Elephas maximus indicus: one gene and its partner. The protein of the gene in region 2 interacts with the protein of the main gene of each other region in a pairwise test. Links are inferred from orthologs where the notes say so. Each region holds a gene or a part of one and is shown on either strand. Other genes may lie near its edges.

Region 1 (7,618 bases), on a different chromosome or scaffold from region 2:
TAGTAAGTGGGAATCAGGTTTTCAAGCAGTCTGACTTCAGACTATTAACCACTAGGCTAAACGACATCCCTTTGACAACAAAAATATATTACTACTTACTGAGCACCTATCATGTCCCAGGGAAGACAAAGGTAATAGAGATAGATCTCAAGTTAGACTAAGTTTGATAGTTTCAGAGTGATGAAGTAAAAATGACTCACATGTACATCAAAGAACGTACTCAACAGCAAAAAAAAAAAAAAATCACATACAGCGATGAGTACATTTTACATAAATAGCAAGGAAGGCAGTTTTAACTTCACATGTGCATCATCATCCGGCTCAAGCAAGAACATCTCTCTGGAACCTGTTTGAATTTGTTGATTTAACTTGCTCAAGGATACAAAAAAAAAAAAAAAACTTACGTAAAAAACAATGAAGTTAATGCCTCCTCTGCCAAAAGACCAGAAGAGCTGGATGATGCCCAGCTATCACTGCTGAACATTTCGATCAAAGATTCTACGGAAAAGAATTTCAAATTCTCATGGAACTCCAGACTTTCTAGAGCCATGGGGGCTAGATGAACCCCTGATACTACTGCCCTGAGATAAACTTTAAAACTTAAAACGAAGGTGAAAATGATTGCACAATCATTTCAAAAATGATTATATCTGAATTACATTTCGAAGGATGTAACCAATGTCGCTAAATTGTACATGCAGAAACGGTTGAACTGGTATATGTTTTACTGTGTATATTTTCAAAAACAACAAAGTTTTTTTAAAAATGAAGTGATAAAAATTAAAAACAAATGCTTTAATACTTTGATTTTTATTTACTGCTTTTCAAGTTTCCTAAATCATCACATGCTTTTGTTTTTAATTAAATGTAATATTTATAAAGTCCCGAATAAAGATTTTTCTAAACATCTGAACGAGTTCTACTTGCCTGAGTTCTGCCTGCTAAGTCTTGCCATTTGGAAGAAAGTCTCATAGTTTACAACTATATTAAAACAGGCTAACGGCCCAAGGGATCTCCGACGGCCAATGTAAATCAAAACACTCACAGAAGCCGAGAATGCACCTTTAACCTCATAACCAACCTATCAATATAGAAAATGCCTTCACTGTTATACTTTGTACCAAACATCTGAAAGGCCCCAGGACCAATGTCCAACATTAGCTGGCTCAGGCTGATTAGCAGCAAATGTTTAAGCAGCACCTACTATGTGCCAGGGACTGTGCTCATCCACAACAACACCTGTTACATACCTACCGCCGTCAGGTCGATTCCAACCCACGACGACCCTTCAAGACAGAGTAGAACTGCTCCGTAGGGCTTCCAAGACTGTAAATCTTCACAGAAGCAGACTGCCACATCGCTGTCCCGCAGAACGGCTGGTGGGTTCAAACCACTGACTTTTCGGCTAGAAGCCAAGCACTTAACCACTGCGGAACCAGGGCTCCTTATCTATTACATAGACCGTGGAAATCTTGAACTAAATCTGAATTTGTGCCTTCTGAAAGTTTAGGCAGTCAAACTGGAAGCTCAAAATCCAATGCAGTTTTCCCCTTATATCCAAAAAAGCTATTACCAGGGCTTCTGCGATCAACAGACAAACAAATATGTTAACAAGAAGAGACTAGCAGGTGCAGCCAGCACGTCCCAAAGTTCAAACTAAAACAAGCCTTGGATTATGGTGGTGCATTCTGTCCTCTGAGTCTGTTTTACACTATGAAAATTTGGCACTTCCCCTAAAGCAGCTACTTTTTCTCAAAAGTCAACTGTTTTAAAAATTAAGCTGTTCTATTGCTTAAGAAACCACTTTATTCTTATTCTTCTCTAATGGGTCCCTAGAAAATATTAATAGTGAAGAAATGTGGCTCGATTTATTGGTAAACTAATGCCAAGGTACTTCATATGATTTACTGAGCCTCTAGAAGCCAGTCTCTCAAAAATTGTAAAACTAAACCTGCTGAGCAAAATGCACCTGATGGTCCGTAAAAGCTATTTTTTAAAAATGTCAGGTAGCATCATAAAAAGTAATGCCTAAAGCCAATATTTTTTATTCGAAGAAACCAAAAAAGATAAAACAGTTCACCATAGATCTGTCGGTCTTTAGAAGAAATATGTCCAATTTCTTAACTTTTCCTAACTCCTTCATTCACACTGCACATCACCCCTAGCCAACTATTGAGCAACTCCCAATAGATAATCTATGTCCACTACCTCAACTGCCACAAATCTCAACCAAGCCATTCTTTAAATTTCCCCAGCTCTCTACATCCCCCCTTTATAAAAACAGGGGAGGGGGCTGTAAAATTTAAGAGAATAAAAATGATAGAAAACGCAGGACAAGTATAAAGACGGCCTCAGCACCCAAGCTCTCTTCGTTCATACCCGATAACCTGTCACCCACCTTTATGTTCCTGGATAATCCAAGTTCCCTCCACTTACCAACAGTTCAAAATGCCCACTCTCTAATGACAGAGTCCTTATGTGATCGCTCTGCCCCAACCTCTCTATTTATATTAATTACTCTAAGTTTCCCAGCTCTATTCTAAGAGTACCACTACGCTTCAAATTCGCAAACCATTATACAAACCCTACACATTACACTGTATCCCGAACTCCTTGCTATCAAAACACTGCAAATCCATACAAAAGTTTCCCTAATATCAGCTGTTTTATGAGTATTTCCTATATTCCTAACAGTCTCTTTACGGTACCGCCCCATTCCGAAGCTCTCTACGCTAAACCCAATTCCAGCCCGGAGTCACACCCTCTACAGCTTAATTCCTACAACCCCAAACCCCACCCCCTCATCACGCCCTCCGGGGCCTCAGACACCAACCTAAATACCCGCCCCAAGCCCGTCAAGCCCTCTAGATCTCTCCGGAGTCCTTTACACCGGCCCGGCCTGACCCCCCCTCAGATTTTCCAAGTGCCCAGGGCCTCCCAACCACCCCGCCAGCCACGCCCACGGCCCCATACCAAGCAGGAGCAGCTTTACTTCCTTGGCCGCCTTCTCCCCGTCCTCCCGCAAGTTGCGGTCGATCATCTTGCTCCGCTCCACCGCCGCCTTGTCTTCGGCGCTCAACGTGCAGCCCATGGCGGCGGCGGGAGAGGGGACCGTATCCGGGCTCACTCACACACCGCGGCGACTGCGGCTCGGGCGACTGAGACGGCGCCTGCTGCTGGGCGGCGTCCCTCTTCAGTCTCAGCTCCCGGAGCGCCCAGAGGAACCGGATATCCGGCGTTTGCGACACTTCCGGTGATGCCCTACGGCCGTCCCTTCTCAAACCGCTCTAGCTCCGGGAGGGGAGGTGCTACCAAAAGCGGAAGTACTGGGGAGGGGGCGGTAGGCTCAGGTTATGGATTTGTGGGCTGGGTGCACACCTCTAGTCCGTCTTTAGTCTCTTTTTCCCTTTTCGTCTGCCTTTTGCTTTTCTATATTATTTAAATAAATGTAGAAAATCCTGGGTCTGGCTTCTGTATTTCATAGGCGCCTTTCTGAGATCCCACAGACGGGTTTGGACGGGGCAGGATGGTGGGAGAGATTCTCAGCTAAGAGCCTACAGCCCGCACGGAAGGCTTTGCTGGGTGCAGGCCAGTGAGCCTTTGATCGCTGGCCTTGGAGATCCTGGCCGCTGCCCAAGTATAGGACAGTCTGCCAGGGTCGTCTCGGCTAGATTTATAGAAAGGGAACAAACTGCAGCCTGGTCCCCAGCCGCGCCTCACATCTGAGATCTAACACTATAGCGAGCCACTTCTGCCCTCTCCTCTGGCCCGCTACCTCCTGCTCTCAAAATGGATTCTGGTCCGCGTGCCATTACGTACGAGGTTCTGTGGATTGGGGAGTTACCCAGCTCCTGTGTTGTCAAAGAACCACTTGCAATCTCTAGCAGAGACCCAGTAACCTGAAAGTTACGCGTGTAGTTCATAAAATTTCCATGCTGCCCTCTCTAACATAAGCCAATTTTAGCTCTTATGGTCGTCTAGCTTAGGGGCTTAGGACTTTTACCAAAATTAGTCAGCTGCAGTCCCACTCCCCAAAACAAACCAGTGCATCTTGTGAATCTTCTAAATTTACTGTGTGCTCGTTTTTCAACTCTAGTGACACCTGAAAATTAGTAAGTCCCTGTGAAAACCCCAGGCTGATACTTCCTTTCCTTGATAACCCCAGGTACTAGTTGAAGGCGGCCTTAACTTCCCTTTACTGCCAAACGCCCCACAAACACTCTCACCATACGTTCTAGGGAGAGGAACTCTTTCGTGGCTCCCAAAAAATCTTTCCCTGTGACTAAAAATTATTTAATTACCCTAATAGAATTTAAACCTTAGAGGCTAAGGTTCCCAATAGAAAGGTCTATATGGTGATGATTTATTAATTACAGCAATATCATGAGAGCCATATTAACCTAACCCAAAAAACGCATCAATGCCAATCTTCAGAGTTTGAAGGTCTCCCACTCATTCTCAAACGACTGTTAGGATAACCATAATCAGTGTTTCTGGGGAAAAAGGGCAAGAGGAAAGGGGAAGAAAAAACAGTATTTATTGAGTACCTATTTGCCAGGTATGGCTAGGTGCTTCCACTGTCATCTCTTTTAATCCTCACAACAACCCTGTGAGGTAGGTAATATCCTCATTTTTACAGATGAGGAAATAGGCTCAGAGAAATTAAGCAGCTTTCCCAAGTTCACACAGTGAGTAAGTAGATCTATCTGACTCCAAATTTGTCCCTTTTCTACCATGACCCTATAGGATCTTGCCTGGAGAGAACTGACAACAGAGGGTCTAAAGTTTTCATCTAAGATTGGGAGTCACCCCAACACCACCAGAATGTGGGTGAAAAAGTAAATGACAGAATGGTTGCCCCAACTTGTTGCCTTTTGTGAATTAGGGCGTTCAGGTTTTATCCAGGAACAGTTTTCAGAGCTAAGATAACATATCAAACTTTATCAAGCCAAACTAGTGACTAGAAAACGCCTGGAACGTGGTCATGGCAGAAATTGTTGGGAACATTCTCAGCATGACAGGAGAGAATTTTTTATTTCCTTCATTATCCACTCAGACAAGGAAAAATAACTGACAATTTTCATCGTCAAACTCTGTAATAAACACCAATGAGATCACAGTGTCAGGAAATTTCAGCCTGAATTAGAGAGATCCTTGCACTTAAAACTTTCTTCTTCGATGTATGTAAACAAAGGTTAGAGGGTAAAACCCAAAAAAAGGGCAAAATAAATTACCAAAATGGCTGCCAGGCAAGGTTTAATTTCCCCCTCTTCCCCTTCACCACACGCACCCCTTTCCTTTTTCAACTGGACTCACACTGCCACCTGCTGGCAATGCTTGTGTTTTGAAGAAGAATTTCTCCCTCATCTAGGAATGAGATTCCTCAGTATGATTTTATCTTAAAATGGAATAGAGAGAGCAGTACAAACATGTTTTTTCAATCACAAAGGACTCTCTTCACTGTATATACTACCTTTGTAAGGTATTTTATCAATATAATAGGCACTAGATTGGAGTAATAAGTGGTAGGAAGACAGAAACCTAGAAATATTTCTAGATGAAGGGAGGGAAAGCTACGTTTGCCCAAGTTCATTTAATTAATCATTTTCTCCACTAGACAGTTTTCTTTTATAACTGTCACCCTTTCCACAATCTACAGGAAACCTCTGTGTAGATATATTTCTGCAATGGACCAAACTCTCAGAAGTTATAACCACAGACATATTCTCCAATCTATCTCTCAAATACTTGCTATGGTACTTTACCAGCTATCAATGCTCTGTAAAAATACAAAGTATCTGATCAAATTAGACTGTGAACTGCTTGAAAGCAGTGACCGCACATCGTTTGTGTGGGTCCCAGAGAATAGTGGGTGTTCAACTAGTATGCACTGAATTGAACTGAAGGAGTCAGTATTGATATCAGTATAACTTTTTTATAGTAAAATTATTTATTGGCTGTTCAAAGGGGAAACTATCCCACTCCCACCAATCCATTTTCCCCTTTGATGCTCAATGAGCCAGGCTTTTGTTCAAATACAGACCATGCCATCCCCTGGTCCTGCCTTATCCTTGTGTGTCACCTGATTAAATTGGGGGAAGCAGGGTGAACAGGTAGTCCCAGATGGGTGTCCTGGCTAGTTTGCAATTACTCCCTCTTCCTTGAAAATTTGATTGGTTCATGCTCTGGCCACTAATACCAAGTAATAGTTCCTCCAATCGCAATCAGTGAACAGTTGAGCCCAACTCCTGTGCCTTCTCTCCAATCCAGGGCTGCAGATAGAAGAGATTTAAGTCACTGAAGCTAATTTTGAGAGTGATGAATGAGTTATAGAGAGGCATTCGGTGGCCCATGGAAAACCCACCCTTTCCATGCCCAACCTTAGTCTCTTGTACCCGATTATCCAGGGGGCTGGAGGTGGGTCGCTGCCATGAGGAGAGAGATCAGGGAGGCCAGTCCTGGAAGGGAAAGATTATCGATATTATTGATCAGGGTGATTAGCTGGCCTCTTTGTACTCAGCCACCTTAGCAATTCAAATGCTAGCTCCCACCCTCAGCCATTCCACTCCCAATCTTTCCAAGATCTTCATCCTAAAAAGGAGAAACATCCATCCTATCTAATTCTCTTGCCTCTGCTGAGATCAAGCCCTAAGCTTGATCTCCCATATACAGAGTGACAGGGAAATAAAGAAGAGGGGCTGCTCCTGAGAGTGGGAGAGAGAGCTGCAGTCAGCTTTCCTGTCTTCTACTCCACGTACCCTGAACTGCTATTCCGCTTGTTTCTGGCCAAACTTGGATAATTGTGGTAGGAAGGAACATACCCAACTCATCCTTTCCCTTTAAGGAAATTTCAGATATAAAACTGGAAAGAGATCTATTAGCTTGAATGGAAACACTTGGCTGTAATTTAGTTCTTTCTAAACCTAGGAAGAAATAGCCCTGGTGGTGCAGTGGTTAAGCACTCAGCTGCTAACCGAAAAGGTTGGCGGTTTGAACCCACCAGCTGCTCCATGGGAGAAAGATGTGGCAGTCTGCTTCCATAAAGATTACAGCCTTGGAAACCCTGTAGGGCAGTTCTACTTTGTCCTACAGGGTTGCTATGCGTAGAAATCGAGTCAACGGCGATGGGTTTGGTTTTTTTTTGGTTTTAAACCTAGCAAGGCAATGAGAAGACACGGGTCATTTTCTTAACTTGCTTGGATGCAATTACCGCCCTGGACAATTATACTGGAAAATAAAATATCCAAAGTAGCCCCAGAATAACTCCAAACGTAGCCTACAGCCCTGTATCCACCAACTTAGAGAGTTTCCCTGCTTCCTGTGGCATGGAAAACTCACTGGTTAAGAGGCTTCATCTCACCTTTGTGACCCTTTTCTCTCAACACCAGCTCGCCATACCCAGGTTCCCTCCCCCAGTAGTCAAGGATCACAGCCAAGTCCAAAGCTGTTGCCACATGTCCATGCTGTCAGCTGTATTCCTGACCCAGGAAATGCCAAGCAAAAGCTGTGTGCAGAGACCCCACCTCCAGCTCCAGCCAGCTGGGAACAGGTGATTCCACAAGGTGGTCCTTGCAATCATAACAGGCCCCCAGGCCCATCTCCCTCTGAGTGTCCAGCA
Region 2 (7,289 bases):
AAATGGAGCCGGAGAGAGAGAGAGAGAGAGAGAGAGAGGAGGCCCAAGCGGGGGTGTGTGAGAGAGAGGGAGGAGGGAGGAGGGAGAAGGGGGGGAGCGAGGGAGGGAGGCGGGGGGAGGGGAGCCGCGGAGGAAGAGGAGGGGAGAAGGGAGGAGGAACAGGGAGGAGCTGGGGGCGGAGAGAGAGAGAAACAGAGGAACTGAGACCGAGTGGAGGAGGGGACAGGGATGAGGAGACGAGGGGAGGAGACTGGGTCATTGGAGGCAATACGGGAAGGCCCCCGGGCTGGACTTCCGTGGTCCGGGAGGGGGCGTGTTGGGGTTGGAGGGGGGCAGCCACCTGGATTCCGCGTCAGGGATCGCGGTGATGTGGACTCTCCGGCCGCTGGAATGCCTGGGTTCACAGACAGCTCAGTTCATATTTCTTGTCCTAATGACTCCCCTTCTAGTTCTATTTAATTAAAACTGGGAGAGGGGGACTGGGGGGGGGATAATTAGGGAGGTCTCCAGCTGCTGCTTAATGAGCCAGTAATTAACCAGCCAGAGAGGGGAGCTGGCCTCTGGCCAGCCTAAGGAGAAAGGCGGCCTCCGGCCTTACCTTCCCACCCTCCAACCCCAGCCCTCCAGACACTAGCCTTCAGTCCAGAGGGGAATTAAATTTATTCACACAACCAAAACATCAGACTGACTCCGAGCAGCGAGCAGAGGCGGCGGCGGGGACGGCGGGTGGGCAGGGCTAGTGGTCTGTTTCCAGCCTCTAGGCCCCTCAGCCCTGGGGCGGGGGAATGCCTTGGTGGGCGTCGGCAGACAGTCTTAATCTCTCTTCTTGCCCACCCACCCTTCCTTTCTTCTAACTGGGAAGGAGGGTGGGCTGTCTCTCCAGTCACAACCTTGGGACGTTTGCCTTTTCTTGCAAGGTGGAGGCCTGAGTTCTCAGACCCTGCCTGGTGGGTTGACTCCTAGGGATGTCTCGACAGCTCCTGCTGGAGATTCCCAACCACCCCCTGAGATCTAGGAGTGGGGTGTCCCCTGGTAGCTGGGATCCCCTCACCGCCTCAAGCTCCCAAGTACTTGGGGAGGGAGTTCAATGATCATCCTACCTTGCCTTTTTACTATTAACAGGGTTTGAGAATTTTCACCCCCTCTATTTCCCACGGGTGCTGGTCTAAAAAACCCAGTGCCATCGAGTCGATTCCGACTCATAGTGACCCTATAGGACAGAGTAGAACTGCCCCATAGTGTTTCCAAGGAGCGCCTGGCGGATTTGAGCTGCCGACCCTTTGGTTAGCAGCCGTAGCACTTAACCACTACGCCACCAGGGTGCTAGTCTAGAAAAAAAAAAAGGATGAATATTGAGATTTCTTTTGGGTCTTCCAGTCTCTGCTGCCCCTGCCAAGCAGGGTTGAGGGCAGGCAGTGGGCCGCCCAGCTTTGAGCCCCAGGAGCGCAGAGGGGCCAGTTCAGGTCTCAGCAAGTATGTGTGGGAGGTCTGGACCTTTGCTCTTCCATTCGTCCCCCACCCTGAACCCTCAGCAGCAACTCCAGGAGCTCCTGTCCTCCTGGGGGTAGGGGAGGCTCTGACCGCTGGGCTTCCATCCGCTGGCACTGGAGGAGTGGAGGGAGAAGGGTGTTGGTGAGGCTCTGAGGGGAGCCAGGGTTAGTGTGGGGATACAGGATACCTATGATGAGGATGGGGAGACTAAAGAGCAGGCAATGGGGCAGTTGTCTGGGTAGAAGGAGAGGTAGGGCCTGAAACAGAACAGGGACTAGGGGGCCAAGAGGTCTGGGTCTTGCCTTCTGGAGGTGTCTCACCTGGTGACTGAGGATGGTGCTGTAGAGCTGTTCTCTGTCCTCAAGAGGCCGGGGTGGGGCTGGGGCTCGGTTTGGGGGGATCTGGGGGACACAGAAGGTGGCCCTCTGCTCCTCCAGACGGCGGGACTGGGCCTCAGCCACTAGGTCCAGAAGGCGCTCTGTCTGCAGGGAGAGCAGGGAGGCCGAGCGGGGCCCTAGGGCTGGGGAGAGGAGGGGGAGGGCTCAGAGAACCAGAGAACTTGAGAGATGGGTGGGGGGGGGAATAGGGTGAGGTGATTAGGGACTTGGGGTTAGAGCTGAGGGGGTGTGATGGACAGTCTGGAGGAGGTGGAGGGGAGGGCCCACAATGGTCTTGGTAATGGGATCACGAAAGATGGAACCAGGGTTGGGAGCTCCCTGGGCGGTAGAGGTACCTGTGTGGCGGTTCCCTGGAGGAGGGGACGGAGGAGCAGATCGCCAAGGCCGAGTGGTGGTGTTTAGAGGGGGCCAGCCCTGTTCATCCTGGGAAGGGCCCTGATGCTGGGAGATGTCCGTTCCAGTCAAGCAGGGGTGGGTAGAGAAGGTGGAGTGGGCAGGGGGCTAGGCCAGCGGCCTGCTTCCTCTCTGTGTCTCCCTTCCTGCCTCAGTGTGCCCAAGCCCTTTTAAGTCTCCTGAGTTCTCCGTTGCTGGGTCTCTGCCTGGGTCCTCTCCCCTCCCTCTCGTCAAGTGTCAGTCTTCCCCCTTAGTGCCCGGCTCACCTGCTCACCATCCTCTTCTCCGTCCTGGGCTCTTTCGGTCTCCATCCCCTGGAGGGGAGAAACTGGTGGGGGAGGGGTGGCTGGGATTTGGGAAGAGTGCCAGAACCCTGGGTTCCAGAGGGGAGTGGGGGCTGGAAGGGGTGGGGGCCAGCTGGGGGCTAGATGCCTGGGTTCTGAGCAGGAAGCTGGGTTCCTGGTCAGCCCCCCCACGGGCCCCGCCCATCCCTGTCAACTTCCTCCAGTTCTCTTTTCCCACCCAAAGAGTTGCTCGACCTCTCTAGCCCCAGGGGAACACAGAGATCAGGAAAAGCTCCTCCAGCCGCAGGAGTTAGAGGGGGGCTCTCGGTGGGGAAGGACTCCTGCCTTTCTTATCCCCACAGCCTCAGCACCCCCATAGCCCCTGGCTTTGTTCCCTCCACCCCTGCCTCCCCTTCAGCTCTTTCTGTCAACACTGTCAACACAGGAACTAGCTACACAGGAAGTGGTTTCACTCCTCAGAACCCCCCAGCCCCTCCCCCGCCCAGGTCCGTTTCTTCTCCAAGATAGACCCTGACATAGGATTTGGCCCTCCCCACACATCCGCAGACCTATTGGGACTAGAAGGTGCGGTGTCCCAGTGAGAAGCAGAGTACACAGACCCAGGAATGTTCTGCCCTCAAGCTTATACACCTATACCCCCAGCACCGGCTCCAACACATGCTAAATATACAGTAAATATTGTGTATTTACTGAGTATCTAATAAATGTGTTGAACAATTATCCCTGACCTTAAGTTGTTTACAGGGGACAAGACGTGCACCAAATGAGAAAATGGAATGAAGTTCACTCAGGCAAATCATAGTTTAGTGCAGACAAGGGGCAGGGGAACTTTCCTCCGGTCATAAACGAGGGATATAGAAATGGAAAAGGGAGCAGACCACCTCCCTGCTCTCTCCTTGATTAATGCTGGTCAAGGTGGCTGTCACCAAGGCAGCAGCAGGACAGGTAGAGACATTTGAGGCCTCTAAATGGAGCCCTGGTGGCACAGTGGTTAAGAGCTTGGCTGCTAACCAAAAGGTTGGCAGTTCGAATCCTCCTTGGGAACCCTATGGAGTGGTTCTACTCTGTACTATAGGGTCGCTATGAGTCGGAATTGACTAGATGGCAATTTTTTTTTTTTTAAATGGCAACCTGCCACATTGGGGGCTTACACTGACTGACTTAGAGCATGAAGATCTGGTTCTACCACTTAATGCTGTGCAATCTTGGGCAAATACACCTCTCTGTGCCTGTTCCTAAAAGAAGAAAATGGGGGTTTTAATAGCCCATAGCTCATAGAGTTGATGTGAGGATTAAATATGATAAAGCACTTGGCACAAAATGAATGCTTGGTAAATGATAGCTATTTTTAACTTTCAAACACTTTACACCTCTGTGTCTTAGGCCCATCACTATTAGAGGTGTAACCACGTTGCTGAAAGGTGGATAAAGTTTCCCTTAAGATGCCCTCTCCATCTCCCTTTATTTAACTTGCGGCCTTAGGCATCTCCTATGTGGTCATCACTAAATGCCTTTGGGTGAAGGACAAAGAGTGGGCGGGTCCTAGTGTGTATGTGGGTTCTCCCTGGGCTACTAGACCCTTTCAGCGACCCTATATGAGTAAATTAGATTGGGATCCCAAACCTATTCTTGCTCTTTAACCATACTCAAAGCCCTCATCCAAATGTTGAACATAGGGCACAAAAATTCCAGTCATTCTCATGTTTTTTCTCCTTTTGCTCCCAACCCCTCCAAAAAAAAAAGTCACACTTCAAATCAGCTTTATTGTGGGGTGACAGACTTGAGGGGTCTCAAATAGAGACAGTGATGGCTTCCCCGTGCTGGAGTTTCTTTTCTGGGGGGGAGATGGGGAAAATGCAAGAGGTCATCAGCTGGAGTTGCCCTTGGGCCCCCCTTTGGCACCTACAGTGCCTGGCACACAGTAGGCGTCAGCCATTTGTAGGCAGTGACAGAAGGCATGATAGAAGCTTCCTCTGGGAACCATATATAGGAAAGAACTTCTTACATTCGTCAGCCTGCAGTTCTTGGTTCCAGTTTAGAGGACTTCTCCCATTCCCTTCTGCCCTCCTGTGGCCCCTCACCCTTATTTTTCTGGGAGAAGGGCTAGGACTGCCTCATCCCAGCACCCTAAATCCTCTTTCCAGAGCTGCGGCTTCTCCACGTGGAAGACGGTACCCATTCTTGTGAGCACACACTCATTTTGGGAGGGAAACTAAACTTATGACCTCACTTCTGGGGCTCCAGAACGTCAAAATTGTAGGGACTTCCAGATTGCCTGTCATTTAAGGGGTACTCATTTTAAGACGTTTCCCCTCCACCCATATAACCTTCTATTTTTGGCCCTCGCCCCCGGAATTAAGGGCTTGGGGACCCCAAGCAGCTTGAGGAGATACCCGTTCCGGGGACGGAGTAAGGCAAGGAGGCGGGATCGTAGTGCTGGGGGCGGGACCGCGGGCTCTCAGAGCGACCCAATCACAGGGCCAGTCAGCCGCCGAGGGCCCACCCCCGCGCCGGGCCGCGACCCCGGATCTTCCCCGTATTATCGCAGGGCTGGGCCGAGGCCCGCGCGCGCCTGCGGAAAATCTACGACCGCGGGGGGCCGGGACTCCTCCTGCTCCTCCTCCCGCTCCTCCTCCCGCTAGGCTCCGGCAGTGTGAATAGGCCCCGCCACAGGGATCGGCCAAATCAACGGACAAAGTCCTGGCTTTCAGACAAGCCCCGCCCCGTCGAGGGCCTGCTCCCGCAGACTGCGTCCGAGTGCGCGGCAGAGCCCCGCCTCCACGCGGGGGCACGCTGCCAGACGCGATCCGCGCGCAGGAGAAGGCGCCCCCTCCGCGGCCCGGCGTGGCTTTGTGACGCGCCTCCGGTGGCCACGCCCCTTCCAGGAGCGTCAGCAGATCCCAGTGGTTCCGTTGGCGGGCGATATCCCCGGGCGCTAGTCCGGCCTGGTCCCGCAGCCCTCGGGCCGCCCCCACCCCCAGCAGAAGCTGGGCTACCTCCACTGCCCCTTCTCGTGCCGCCAGGAACAGCGGCGTCTGCTCCTGCGTGGGAGGAAACAGCCAGGAGGAAGAGGTCAGGAAGGGCCGCGCTCACAGGGCCGGTCCTTCGTGACTCCACCTATTTCGCCGCCGGCCCCGCCCCTTTACGTTTTGTACGGTTCCCGCGCTTTCCACCTCCCACGCCCACTTTTTTATAGAGAACCCGCTGCCCCTGTCTAACCCTGCTGTCCTGGGCGTCTTTATCGGCTCCGGCCTGCAGAAGTGAGCGGGCGGCCCGGGCGTTGTTCACGGCGGCGGCCCAGTGCAGCGCGGTTTTTCCTGGGGGACGACGTGGGAAGTTGTTACCCCGGGGCTGGGGACCGACGCCTAGGTTCCGGTTTCCCACGGATTCTGGCCTTGGGGGTAGGGCTGCTCGGGCCAGCCGGGTCCCTCAAAGGCGGGAAGCGTTGCCCTGGCGACCGCCGACCGGCAGGAAGCGTTGCCCCTGGTGACGTCACTGGCGCGCGGGCGGGACAATGGGGCATTGTTCTGGGGTCGGTGGGACAGGGAGACCACCCCCTCCCACACTTCGGCCCTCTCCCTTCCCACAGACTCTTTCCTCATCCGAGATCCCTGTGGGCTAGAGTAATACATGTGTGTGGTAATGTGATGGTGTTGAAGATGGTGGGGGAGTGGGGGAGACCCTCGAGTTCCACATTGCCACCGCGCTGCAGACTTAGCAGGATGGGAAGGAATGCCCTAGACTCCAGTCTGTCCCTCTGCTGCTCCTTTTTTTACCTCACCTCACGTCAACTTCTCTATAGCACAGCATCATCCTCTCTAGATCCATACCCCATTTGTCTCTGGCCCCCACGTCTGCTCGGGCTGCAATCAGTTCTTCAACGAGGTCTTCCACCGCTAGCCTGGCGGCCAGCATCAGGGATGTAGTCCCGTCTTCTGTGCGTGCATCCACTGCAGTCTGTCTGCTCCGGAGCAGGAGCTGGGAGGCCAGAGAGGGCCAATGACCCCTGCAGTAGCCTGGACGGCTAGCTTAGGTCCCACACATTTTTATCCCGCTCCCAATCCATGTCCAGGAGTTCCCTGGGTGGCACATAAGGTTAAGTACTCGGCTGCTAACCTAAAGGTTGACAGTTTGAGTCCACCCAGAGGCACCTCGGAAGAAAGACCTGGCTATTTACTTCCAAAAAAAAATCAGCCATTGAAAGCCTTATGGAGCACAGTTCTACTCTGACACTCATGGGGTCGCCGTGAGTGGGAATTGGCTTGACGCAACTGGGTAATCCATATTCAGCCATCTGTCTTTGTTTTTCTCTCTCTGAGGTCCCCAAGCTCACATCAACCTCTTTGCCAAACCCTAGGGGATACCTTTTCCTAGCTTTACTTGAAATCTCTCCCCCATTCCCTTCAGGGACTCTAGTGTTTGCTGACCTGGCAGACCTCCCGAGCATCAGCAGCCACAGCAGCGTGAAGGGGGGTGCGACCTGCCCGGTCTGGTTGGTTGGGATTGGCTCCAGCTTCAAGTAGGCGACGGGCAGCGGTTGGCCGGCAGAATCGGGCAGCTAGGTGCAGGGGCGTCTCCCCAGTGCCCACGGCATGAGCCTGGGGACAGGCCCCTCCACCCAGCAGAGGTTCCCATGGCTCAGGGCCTCCCAACCATGCCCCTTGGAAGGTCTTGGACTCCACTCCCCCACAACAAACTGCTG

The links.
Region 1: the proteins of GPSM3 (region 2) and GNAI3 interact in binary tests that used the Homo sapiens proteins (3 or more experiments, as listed by UniProt). The two-hybrid records come from large-scale screens. The link is inferred for Elephas maximus indicus from reciprocal best matches to the Homo sapiens genes GPSM3 and GNAI3.

The regions. Positions count from the first base shown.
Region 1 is NC_064821.1:172,029,257-172,036,874, forward strand, and holds the start of GNAI3 (guanine nucleotide-binding protein G(i) subunit alpha-3), read right to left. Parts: upstream 3,229-7,618; 5' UTR 3,092-3,228; coding exon 2,974-3,091; intron 1-2,973. UniProt on the Homo sapiens protein: Heterotrimeric guanine nucleotide-binding proteins (G proteins) function as transducers downstream of G protein-coupled receptors (GPCRs) in numerous signaling cascades.
Region 2 is NC_064819.1:93,681,170-93,688,458, forward strand, and holds GPSM3 (G-protein-signaling modulator 3), read right to left. Parts: upstream 2,973-7,289; 5' UTR 2,594-2,972; coding exon 2,549-2,593; intron 2,331-2,548; coding exon 2,225-2,330; intron 2,012-2,224; coding exon 1,812-2,011; intron 1,605-1,811; coding exon 1,467-1,604; 3' UTR 642-1,466; downstream 1-641. Other genes in the region: NOTCH4 (neurogenic locus notch homolog protein 4), read right to left, coding at 4,918-5,628, 5,807-5,904, 6,418-6,565, 7,015-7,289. UniProt on the Homo sapiens protein: Interacts with subunit of G(i) alpha proteins and regulates the activation of G(i) alpha proteins.